Schizosaccharomyces pombe: one gene and its partner. The gene in region 1 interacts genetically with each later gene. Each region holds a gene or a part of one and is shown on either strand. Other genes may lie near its edges.

Region 1 (7,469 bases):
TGACGCAGGCTGGTTGCGATGAACATTCTCAACGCTGATTGGCTGCTTCTCCAGCTTGCCACTGTAAACAAATGATGTCAGGATCGTCTAACGAACGAGGCTAAACTCGTATATATAAACATCGATCTGCTTCCCCATTGCGGTTTGCTATAAAATCTGGTCTTTGCATTTTGGCTGTTTTCCACTTGAAAACATCTTTTGTTTACATCGTTTGTCTTCCTTCTCTTAAGTTACTTTGTAAAACGTCGTCCCAGTGTTTGGGTGCTTCAGTTTGACAAAGCTCCTTGAAGTAGTTGAGTTTATTATCATTGTTCATCTTTCCTCCTTTTTAATCGATCCAAAAAGACTTCATCGTCTCTACATTTTTATTCCATATATTCTTATCGTCCTTACATTTTCTATTCATCTGATATCCCTTTCGTTCCATTATTTCCCCCTATTTTCAATTGCATTTTCCGTTCTCAAAATTATCGTCTCCAAAAATTACTTTACGTACTCTCACATTTTAATTTTATAAAAAAAATGTTTGCATTTGCCTCTTTTGCGATTTCGGCCATCTTTTTCCTTTGCTCGTTCTCCTATGTCTCGTCCATCAAGCTTTGTGGCATACCAGGTGCTCCTGCTTGTAAAAGGCGTGAGATTTCTTTATATAAGCGTGCAACTGACACATTTCCTGACTTGAGTTCTGCTATAGCTTCTACCTCCTATTATAATATTTCGGAAGGTACATATTGCCATGTAAGTGGCTCCAACCTTTGTGTTTCACCCGATGTAATTGCCATTTGCGCTAATCATAGCACTGTTCTCTTGAACTGCCCTACTGTGCTTGGTTATCCCAAGGGTCGTGGTTCCGCATGTGTTGAAACCAATTCTTCCTACGGACTAACTCGCGGTCTTTGTCAGATCGGATCCTCCAACTACTCCACTAGCGCTAATTCTTCCAACTTTGACAATGCAAATGTTATCAACGTGACCACTTCCGTTAGTTCGGGAAGTACGAGCACTCACAGCAAGCGTTCTTCCGGTATATCTTTAAGCTATACCAACATTGTTGATCAACCCATCTTATTCACTCGTGATTCCTCAATGGATTGGTCTTGCAACATGACTTTGTGTAATACGGATTACCCTTACTTGGTTAACACTTGCTTCAATGGCACCCAATACCCCGTTAATTGTAACTCTGCTTTGCGCACTCCATTTGGTGGTGCTACTTGCCGTAATATTGGCTATAAAGGTCAAGGTATTTGTGTATATACCAACGACAGTCGTATCCCTGTTGCCGATGACCATGTTATTGTTAACACTACTTCCAAAATAAATCCAAACATTACCAGTGTCTTTAACTACCGTGACAATGCCTTCTTGTGGTAAAGGATTTCGCATAGATTCCCTTTTTCTTTAAAAAAAATCTAAAATAAGGAACATGGGCACTTGTTCCTTACTTGCATGTCTTCCTTGCTAACATTAAATTATCACTTACCTCCTTCCTTTTTCATGCATTCCTTGTCCGTTTACCCTCAACTTCACCAAAGTGATAGGCGTCCAGTAAGATTTTTATCTTTTGGCTTTTGCCTCTACTCTTTTCTCAACATGTCTTTATTTGCACTCTTATATTTGCGTGAGGTATTTACAGATTTGTATCTTTTTTTTTTTTTTTGCATGCATTTTTTGAACGAGCAAATTAAGTGGGACATACTGGTATGTTCCACCATTAAAGCGCATATATTTTTGCACCAAAATAACTTACTAAACTACATTGCGTATTTTCCTGTGATCATGGCACTTTACCTTGATATGTTTGATCTTCAAACAATCAATCATAAGCTTGACTGTTCATTTCTATTTTGATTCCTTTTAATTCTTCATCCCTTTCTTTGTTAAATTAATTTCCTTTTGTTTGGCACAGGTTGTTTAAACTTAGATTAAGATATATCTCTAGTAAATACTTTACTCATGAATTTATCCAAATACTTCTTTACATTCTTTATCATTTTATGCAAGGAATTTTCTGTAAGTGTTGTGCTTATAAATTTTTTTCTGCTGTAAAATCGTATATTCTTCAAACTTAAAGGTGAGATTAGCATGTTTACACTCGTAAAAATCCGTCATCCGGATCTGGTTTTTTGTTATGACACTTTGATGGATGACTCCCAGAGTTTCATGGTATCAAACAACTCTTTGACCTTTTGATAAATTGCTTTAGTGCACTGCTCGTGAACTGAAGCCGCATTTTTAATTGCAGAATTTTGTATGTTCGTAGGACAGTCAGGAGAATATATGGATTTCAGTAATTTCGTAAAAGGCAACATACACTCTGGAATGTATATTGAAAGAAACTGAAAAAGAGATTCTTTCGTGCCTTGATACTTAGACCATGACATAATAGTTGTTTTTGTTACTATAGAACGATCTTTCAATTCGACAGATGATTCAAAGTCTGATTGAGCTTGAAAGAGATGTAAAACGTAAGAAAAAGTTTTCGAATAATAATTTAAAGAGTTATCAGTAAATAATATCCGTAAAGCACCTATTACTTGGCATTGGAATTGTAAATCAGGGTACACATCCTCAAATTCACTAACGCTCGCAGAATCCAATGTAAAAGTTATACTCTTAGATAAAGACCTGCTCAACCCATTTTTTTCTTTTTCCATAAAAATGAATTTTTTCAATCGAGAAATAAAATTATATCTGTCATCAGAGTTCAAGTCCTCAGCCAACTCATTACGGTCAGATTTATCAAGCCTTCTTGATTTTAACAGAGAAATGACATTATCAGAGAATTCATAATTTTGAAAAAGAAAAGTGGAATGAAAAAAATTTAAAAGATCAAACACCTGAAAATCGTTTTTTAAAACTTTATATGTCGAACGTAAGAAACTGAGAATAAAAGATTGTATTGGCTCAGCAATACAGCAGCAAACATTCAAGTTAAGCGGACAGACGTTGCGCACATCATCTGTAAATTTAAGTTGTAATAAATTATCGTTGAAATCTGGAGTCATGTTCATTTTAGCAAGCAGCGTTTCAAATTCTTCACTGTCATTATTGACGGAAGTTTGTTCCAAATTACCAAAAGAAAGCGAAGAAAAGTTGCAGCGCTCCTCTATTACACAAGCTTGATTTATGTCGTTGAAAGAATATGCGAACCGAATGTTCAAAGGGTTAATAAATTCTTTGTTGTTTTTATTAAATATTTCTTTTTGTTCCCTTATTAATGACAAAAATTGAATACACTGTTCAATGCTTACACAAAGTTCAGAAGGAAAAAAACGGGGAAGTGATAAGAACAATGAAGAATCAATGTGACCATACGCACAAGAAACTTTTAAAGCAAGCTCAAGCCTTTTGAAGTAGGGATTTGAGCAATATATCAAGCACTGTAGGGCAATGGGGTAAGATATGGTATTCTGACATGAACGCGCATAATCAAAAAGAAAATCTAACAAGGAATCTCCTTTTAGGTTTTGAGCCGATTTTATTAAGAAGTGTGAAATTAACTCAAAGAATGAAGAAAAAGAATTAACAAAGTTACTTAAACCAATCAGACCGAATCTACGGAACTCATAAAGACGAAGCCAACGCTGAAACTCCTTTCGATACTGCAAGACACCATTCACAATGAAATTTGATAAATAAAAAGAAATGTTGGTCTTGTATAAAGAGAATTCATTTAAAGCTTTTTTTATTAAACCCCCAATTGCAGAAAATTTCTGGACGATACTAGCAAAACATTCATCGGACATTCCTGAAACGGAGATGGTCGGATCGAGTTCAAATGTGCTTGAGGTTTTGTTCCATGGAAACACTGTGCTTTCAAATCCTTGTGGTAAACCAGCCACGCAATTGAAAATAGTTGCTAAAGGGTAAACTTGCAGTGCAGAAAATAATGGTTTCGGACTCCAATCCTGATTATGAAGAAAATAATCATATACCCGAGAAGGCGCTTCAGATATGAATGGAGATCTAGCTTCTAAATTTTTAAAATTTTCTCCATCCCAGCTAGGGCATGTTAGCAGAACTTTGTTTTCGACAGATAAATCGCTGGGTGATGAATCTGTAAGATAAGAGGGGGACACTGAGGATTTAGCTCTTTTTCTTTCTGAAGTAATTTCCTTAGATGCGCTTATGAGTTTGGAATTGGATGATGTCTCACACCCAGGCACAGCGGGTGTTAGTTGTTGATTTGAAATATCGAGAATGACATCTTTTCCCAACAGATCATCGTTTACTTGAAATGAAAAGTTTTGAAAGTATTCCGAGGAGTCAAATAACTTCCTCTTCAATCCTTCTTTTCCCTCAAATTTCGAAAGCTGCTCGACAAAATCAGAATCAAATGAATTTGGCGTAAGGTCGAAAACGTGGTTGCCGAACCATAACAAGTCGTTTTTCATAATTCCATCCATTCCATTTTTATTTCAAAATCATCTATTTTAGTGGTACATTTCAAGATCCAACTCCTTTACTGGAAAACACTCTTGTTATGAATTACTAAAATTTGGCAATATGTGTGTAGTTAATGTATAATGTTGTTAACGTAGCGAATTAAGATGACTTCTTATCTAGAACAGTCAGGATTAGAAGATGTGAATGAAGTATGCGTCTCTTAAACTAAGAAATGGAACGTTAGTAATTGATCCTAACATTGAAACCAATTCAAAAATCCGTACTCTCGTGGCCGTACAACAGAAAATACTGACATGGAGTTAAAGGTATCCAGGATGAATAAAACAGAATGATAAATTGAACAAAAACTATCAGTTGTTAAGGAATTACTATTGCACAATTGCATAATCTATCCAAAACGACATTCCAGCATTTAATTTTAAGAGAGTGCTATGTGGATAAAACGTATCCTTTATGGAACTATAAGAGCTCTTTTATGCTTCTCTGGTTAGTACATTTAGATTTTTTTAAAAAAAAGTTTATTGTACTATTCGTGATATTATGGTTACAGTATACCTCGCTGGCTTGATCGTTTATTGTCCAGAGAGCTCGCATGCGAGTCAAAGCTGAATGAATGGTATCTTCATATAAAAAAAGTCTATTTGGAGAATTTTGGATCCTTCAACAAATTTATTTGAAGTACTTAATGTTCTTTCTTAATTTTTCTCATAAAACCATGTGTCAAGCAATGAAGGATTTAAATATTGTTGGCAAAAGAAATGTTGCAATCACTAATTCAAGTTTGTTTAGAAGCTTGCATTATATAGTTATCGACTTTTCTTTTGCCTTTGGAAAGGGATATCTTCATTATTCTTAATGAAACAGTATAAAATTCTTTTAAACACTAGACTAGATAAGTTGTTTTAATTCTTTCTCAAAAAACATAAACGACAGTCTAACTCTAAAATAATCGGGATTTTTGTGACACCAATGGTATAAAAATGATTAATTAAAAATTTTTGCGGATAACACAAGACTTTGTACTTTGTATTACTGGAAAATTTAGCTAATTAAAAAGGAGAACACATAAGCAATGTATTCTGGAGGTCAAAATCAATTGATTTTAACCTCCAAATATCAGCTTGATGTACCTTTTTTGCCATGACGATAATACATACAGGACTTTATAAAAATCAGCTTGGATTAAATGACAACCTACTTATCTAGAAATAGAATTTAAAATAAACATTCAGTACCCCCAAATCCTTTTTATAAATTAAGACTAACTATCACTATCAGATTCCAAGTTTATACTTGGCAAAGAGATATTGTCTTCCTCCTCATCATCTTCTCCGTTTCCTTCCACATTAATAGAAGTCGTTTTCTCATCTACGACATCCGTTGTTTTTTCAAAAGTTTCGACGACTGAAGAAGTTGTGTTTCCATTTTCATCACCATTTATGTTTTCAATTTGGCTTGAAACTACACTAGTAGGTCGGTCAACAAAGTCAACGTCTATAGCAGTAAATTTGGTTTCAGTGTCCTGAGAATTGTTTAATGCAACATTTGTAGTCTCCTCAACCTCAACATCTCCATGCAACAGTGAAACAGTTGTTTCCTTGTTTTCCGAAACAATGTTAATGTGATCAGTCCCGTGATTAATAGTTGAAGGTTGAGAAGAGTTGATTTCACTACCTTCTTCATTTCTGTCACCCTCATTAGAAAGAACATTAGACATAGTCAGCTCTGATTCGCTTCTTTTGTTCTCGGAGGTAGCTGTAGAATTATTCTGTAAGCCTGTATCTGTAGATGCAAAAGACTCTTTGATCCCTTCAATTTCAGTGGAATCTGTAATCGACTCTGTTTCAAAGGGAGGATTTGATGGAGCCAAAATACTACTTTCTTTATACTCTGATTGAGAATCCACCTGGGGTGGAGAAATATGCGATTGGTTTTCAAGAGAAACAGGCTCAAATCTTGACTCAAACGTATTTTCAAATTCGCTTGGTGAAAGATGTTTTTGCAAAGGTGGGAACCTAGGATGAATCAGCGATTCTATTGTTTGCATCGATGACCTTGCGTGTGAAGCGACCAGAGGATCTGGATGTACAAGCCCTAATGGACCAGAAATTATACGTATTGCATGAGGTACTATCACTGCTTGTGAATCTCCCGGTGATAAAATTGACGCAAGGAGTAAATTATGCATAGATATCAAAACTGTTGAGGTAGGGTTAGACAAAGATATCTGCAAGGTGCAAAGATCTATTTTGGTCCGTAATAAACGTGGTAATGCTATTGAATGAGTCAAAATGGATGCTAAAAAAGAAAAACAACAATCCATGACATCTGAATCATAAAGCTGATGAGACTCTTCCGAACTCATAAGTGTATCTCCTGCTTGACTTTCAGAAAGTGTTTTTCGCTTTTTTTGAGAATGCCCACGATTTTTAGAGAACTCTATGGATTTGGATGCTAAACCTTTAGAGGAATTAGCAAGATATTCTAATACCAGCGTTACAATATTTTCGTATTTTGAAAGAGGGACATTCATATGTGTCACATCCAAAAACTTTGAAAGTAACTTTAAAGAAGAGCATAAAACCCCAGTATGTGTTGACTCAGAAAGTAAACAATCATTTAATGAATCCAGGTAAGAATCAAATGAAAGAATGATAGCTGGAGGAATTACCACAAAAAGCTTTAAGGTTAACTCATTAACTAGCGTATGCAAATGAGGAAGGACCATGAATAGCAAAGCTTGAACTGAACTTTCTACGCTTTTAACAGGCAATGAAAGTTGTACAGTATAAACACGTTGAATTAAATCCTTCAAAGCATTTATGGGAAGCAAAACGATTTTATCCGTCTTTGTACTTAAAAAAGAAATTAAAATCAAGTTTAGAGTTCTGCATCTGTGTAAAGCTTTCTGATAAGTTTCTTCGTAGTGGCCTTTGAGTTTTGGAAACATCAAATTCTCTTCACGAGTTGGGTATGTTTGCGGTTCTATAACAAATTGAAACAAAAAATCCAAAGTAAGATGATATTCCTTTAGGATTGAAATAATACTTTGCTTCCAA
Region 2 (3,810 bases), on another chromosome or scaffold:
TCAGAAGCAGAAAAGGAAAACAGCAAGCTATACCAATTCACCTGTCACACCGCCCATCAATGACAAAAATATTTTGTTACCGGAACAGTCTCCTTTATCTAATTTTTCTACGACCAAGATTTCCAGTATAAATGTTCCTTCAGATATACTTGATTTTTCTAATTTATCATCGAATGAAATTCCCAAGGATTATTCTTCTTCTACGGCTCTTTTAAATAATACAGTTGCTGTTAAACAGGATCACAAATTATCTGCAAATACTTTCCTTTCTTCCCCAGTCAAATTGATTGAGAGGGAAAGCAACAGTTGTTCTACAATTTCAATAAATAAAGAGGATGAAGTTGTTCCAAAATCACCACTAAGTTTGGATCGTAAAAAAGTTGATGAAGTCGAAGAACATTCATCAATCGCTAAACTTGACTCTGAAGAAAAAATTAGAGAAACGAAGAAAAAAAATTCATCAACGTCTCTTTCCCCGGATCCAACCTCTGATAATTTTGAATGGGGTTCATGGGTCAGTTCCCAAGATACCTCGAAAAACTCATCGAATTTAGCTTCTGCTTCCGTTGATGATGTAAGTGAAGAGTCTCAAGTTGAGCCAAATACTCTAATTTTTCAGAATTTTAGTTCACCTTCTACTTCATTGTCAGCTCCTAAAGACACTCCGGCTGTTATTCAATCGATCAATACTTCGTTTCTTAATAATGAGAGAGCAGGGCGTGGAAATATAAAAACAGTTGACCAAAATCAACTAATTAATAGAATTGTTGATAAGCTTCCGGATCTTAGTTATCTTGTCGATTGAAAATCTTAATGATCAAAAGGTAAACGTACTAATTTTAATCACATAATGGCTAGAGGAGTTATTGTTATATCTATGCCCAAATGAATATTAACTTTATTGTGAACAAATGTTAACTTAAATAAATCAATTCTAAAAAGATGTAAGAGGAATTGCATCTTCAAACAACGTGTTGTGAATATACAAATGTTTACTAATAGATTGAACGAATGTATACCATTCTCTAGGGGATGAAGGCATGTCAGTTTTATCATCACGATTCCAACATGTGAGGTGAAATGGTTTAAATGTTTTACGTAATCGCGATTCTTCATATTCGCTGCATGAACAATGCAATCGCTTTTCAAACAAATACACTGGAACATGAAATGGATGATTGGGCAAAGTTATGGATAGCGGTAGAGTACCTCCAAAGGAAAATATCCCTCCAAGCTGGTATTTAGTAGACAATTTATAACAACTATATAAAGCAACCATAGCTCCTTGACCAAACCCGAAAAAAAATATTCTAGAAGATAATATACCGTAAGAGAGTAGATTGCCAATTAAATTTGAAATCATCGTAAAACTTTTAGAGAAATCGGCTTCAGATTGCAGTTCCCCGTTTTGATCAAAATGGACATCCTCTCCCCACATCCAATTGCCTCCAGGATTTTCAAAATCTAATGGTAATCGATATGGTCCACGTAAGGAAATATAACTAGTGTTGGGCAACGGAACGTTCTTTGCCATATTTGCAAAACTCTTGTGAGAATCTCCAAGTCCATGCATTAAAATAACTACATTGTGAACCTTGTCTTTCCCTTCAATAATCTCTGCGCATGCATTTGAAGGTAGAACACTGTTTAAAGAAGACATTAGATAAAAGAAATACTAAACCCCGAGGTCAACTATTGAGATTAAACTTCTTGCCATTAACTTGGTTCTGTGTCAACAGTTTGTTCCTGAGCCATACGTATTTCCCGAATTATTTGAGCTATTGCTTCTGGGTGTACGTTGTTTTCACAAAGACTGATGCAGAGTGAAAGCGTTGTTTTATCAAGTTCAGTTCCAAGCAATGTTCCTATTTCGTATAAAACTTCTATTGTCTCTTTGGTAGATTCAGACATAAAACTCGATACTTTATAATAAACTAGTCTAATTATATATACTTCGTAACAAGTTGGTAATGTTAAGTTTACTGGAATAGGCGTCTCGGAGTAGCTCATTATAATCCTCTAAGTAATAAACAAAGTACTTCGTGGTGCATCTAGCTTGTGCTTGTAAAACGAAACCGAAAGTAGGCTCAACCTCAGATTTGAGCAGTCAAAATATTGATGAAATGTATCCTCTCAATGCTAATTCTTATACTCTGCTACGGAAATTAGGATCAGGTTCATTTGGGGTTGTCTGGAAAGCACGTGAAAATGTGTCTGGCGACATTATCGCTATTAAACAGGTAAGACTAATTAATTTTTACTCTTCTTTAGTATCACAAAAAACTTACAGTTGCAGATTGATTTAGAAACAGGTATTGACGACATTACCGACATCGAACAAGAGGTATTTATGTTATCGAATTGCAACAGTTCCAATGTAATTCAGTATTACGGTTGTTTTGTTGACGGATACACATTATGGATTTTGATGGAGCATATGGATGGAGGATCAGTTTCGGGACTTTTGAAAATGGGAAGGTTGAATGAACAAGTAATTTCAATCATTCTTCGAGAGGTCCTTTATGGGCTAAATTATCTTCATGGACAAAACAAAATCCACAGAGATATCAAAGCCGCCAATATACTACTATCTTCCTCTACCGGAAACGTAAAGCTTGCTGACTTTGGAGTTGCCGCTCAACTTTCGAACGCTGCTTCGCGTAGACACACGTTTGTTGGAACGCCATTTTGGATGGCACCGGAAGTAATACAACAAACAAGTTATGGTTTAGCTGCTGACATTTGGTCTCTTGGAATTACGGCTATTGAAATGGCTAACGGAATTCCGCCCCGCGCTACAATGCATCCAATGCGTGTCATCTTTGAAATTCCTCAATCCGAGCCTCCAAAGCTAGATGATCATTTCAGTCCAACATTCCGTGATTTTGTGTCCTGCTGCTTAGATCTCAATCCTAATATGCGATGGTCAGCTAAAGAACTCCTTCAACACCCATTCATCAAAAGCGCAGGAACTGTGAAAGACATTATTCCTTTGCTTGTTCAGAAGGAGAATAAATTATTTGATGATTCGGATCAAAGTGTATTGGAAGAAACCATAAATAATACTTTAAAGCCCTTTGAAGAACCAATTGCTGAAGGAAATGCTGACATTGAGGATTGGACATTTGAAACTGTAAAGAAATCTGACTCAACTGTGTTAGGGAATACTAGCATTCCTAAAAATTCCATCATCAGTTCACAAAATAAAGAGGAATTGCCTTCATCAATAAAATATTTAGAGAAAACTATAATGAGTGATCAAGCGACACCGCATCCTTTTTCCAAGTCATTGTCTGAAAAAGGTAGCTCTTATCATAAATCGTTGACTTCCGATTTTGCTATGAAACATTATATTAAGTCCACCATACGATCGATGTTATTAAATGATAAATTGTCAGCAACGCAGCGCTCATCTTTAGAATCTTTTTATACATCTTTCATTTCTTTAGATAAAAATCTGTCCTCAAAATTTGTTAACCAAATTACTCCAGACAACAGACTGCATCACAAAAAGCAAAAGCGGAGCCCCATATCACAACTACTATTTTCACGGTGGCTTGAAGAAACTGAGAAAAGAAGAAGTCTAAATGGATAGCTTACTAAAAACTCGTAAACAACCTGTTTACAGCATTCACAATTTTGTATTTAAATGAACTTATAATGGCATATTCTACTATAATTTAATCTACATAATATATATAAACACATCCAAACGAGAACTATTCGAAATCAACTTGACACTTGCTTTAAAGCATTTTGTACATTCCAGTTATTTCCAGACAAATATTGTTCAGCCGTTTGATAAGACAC

Evidence for each region. Genes that interact genetically often act in the same process or in processes that back each other up.
Region 2: mutations in alp16 (region 1) and mzt1 are lethal when combined (synthetic lethality), as found in Schizosaccharomyces pombe (one study listed by BioGRID).

The regions. Positions count from the first base shown.
Region 1 is NC_003421.2:430,266-437,734, forward strand, and holds alp16 (gamma tubulin complex GCP6 subunit Alp16), read right to left. Parts: upstream 4,522-7,469; 5' UTR 4,410-4,521; coding exon 2,130-4,409; 3' UTR 1,999-2,129; downstream 1-1,998. Other genes in the region: SPOM_SPCC306.11 (uncharacterized protein), read left to right, coding at 523-1,374; ribosome biogenesis protein Rix1, read right to left, coding at 5,672-7,469. UniProt on the Schizosaccharomyces pombe protein: Component of the gamma tubule complex that is required for the regulation of both interphase microtubules and mitotic bipolar spindles.
Region 2 is NC_003424.3:1,983,634-1,987,443, forward strand, and holds mzt1 (putative mitotic spindle organizing protein Mzt1), read right to left. Parts: upstream 1,976-3,810; 5' UTR 1,912-1,975; coding exon 1,717-1,911; downstream 1-1,716. Other genes in the region: SPOM_SPAC9G1.07 (Schizosaccharomyces specific protein), read left to right, coding at 1-574, 620-805; SPOM_SPAC9G1.08C (phospholipase), read right to left, coding at 935-1,660; PAK-like GC kinase Sid1, read left to right, coding at 2,124-2,240, 2,297-3,595; inp53 (inositol polyphosphate phosphatase), read right to left, coding at 3,730-3,810.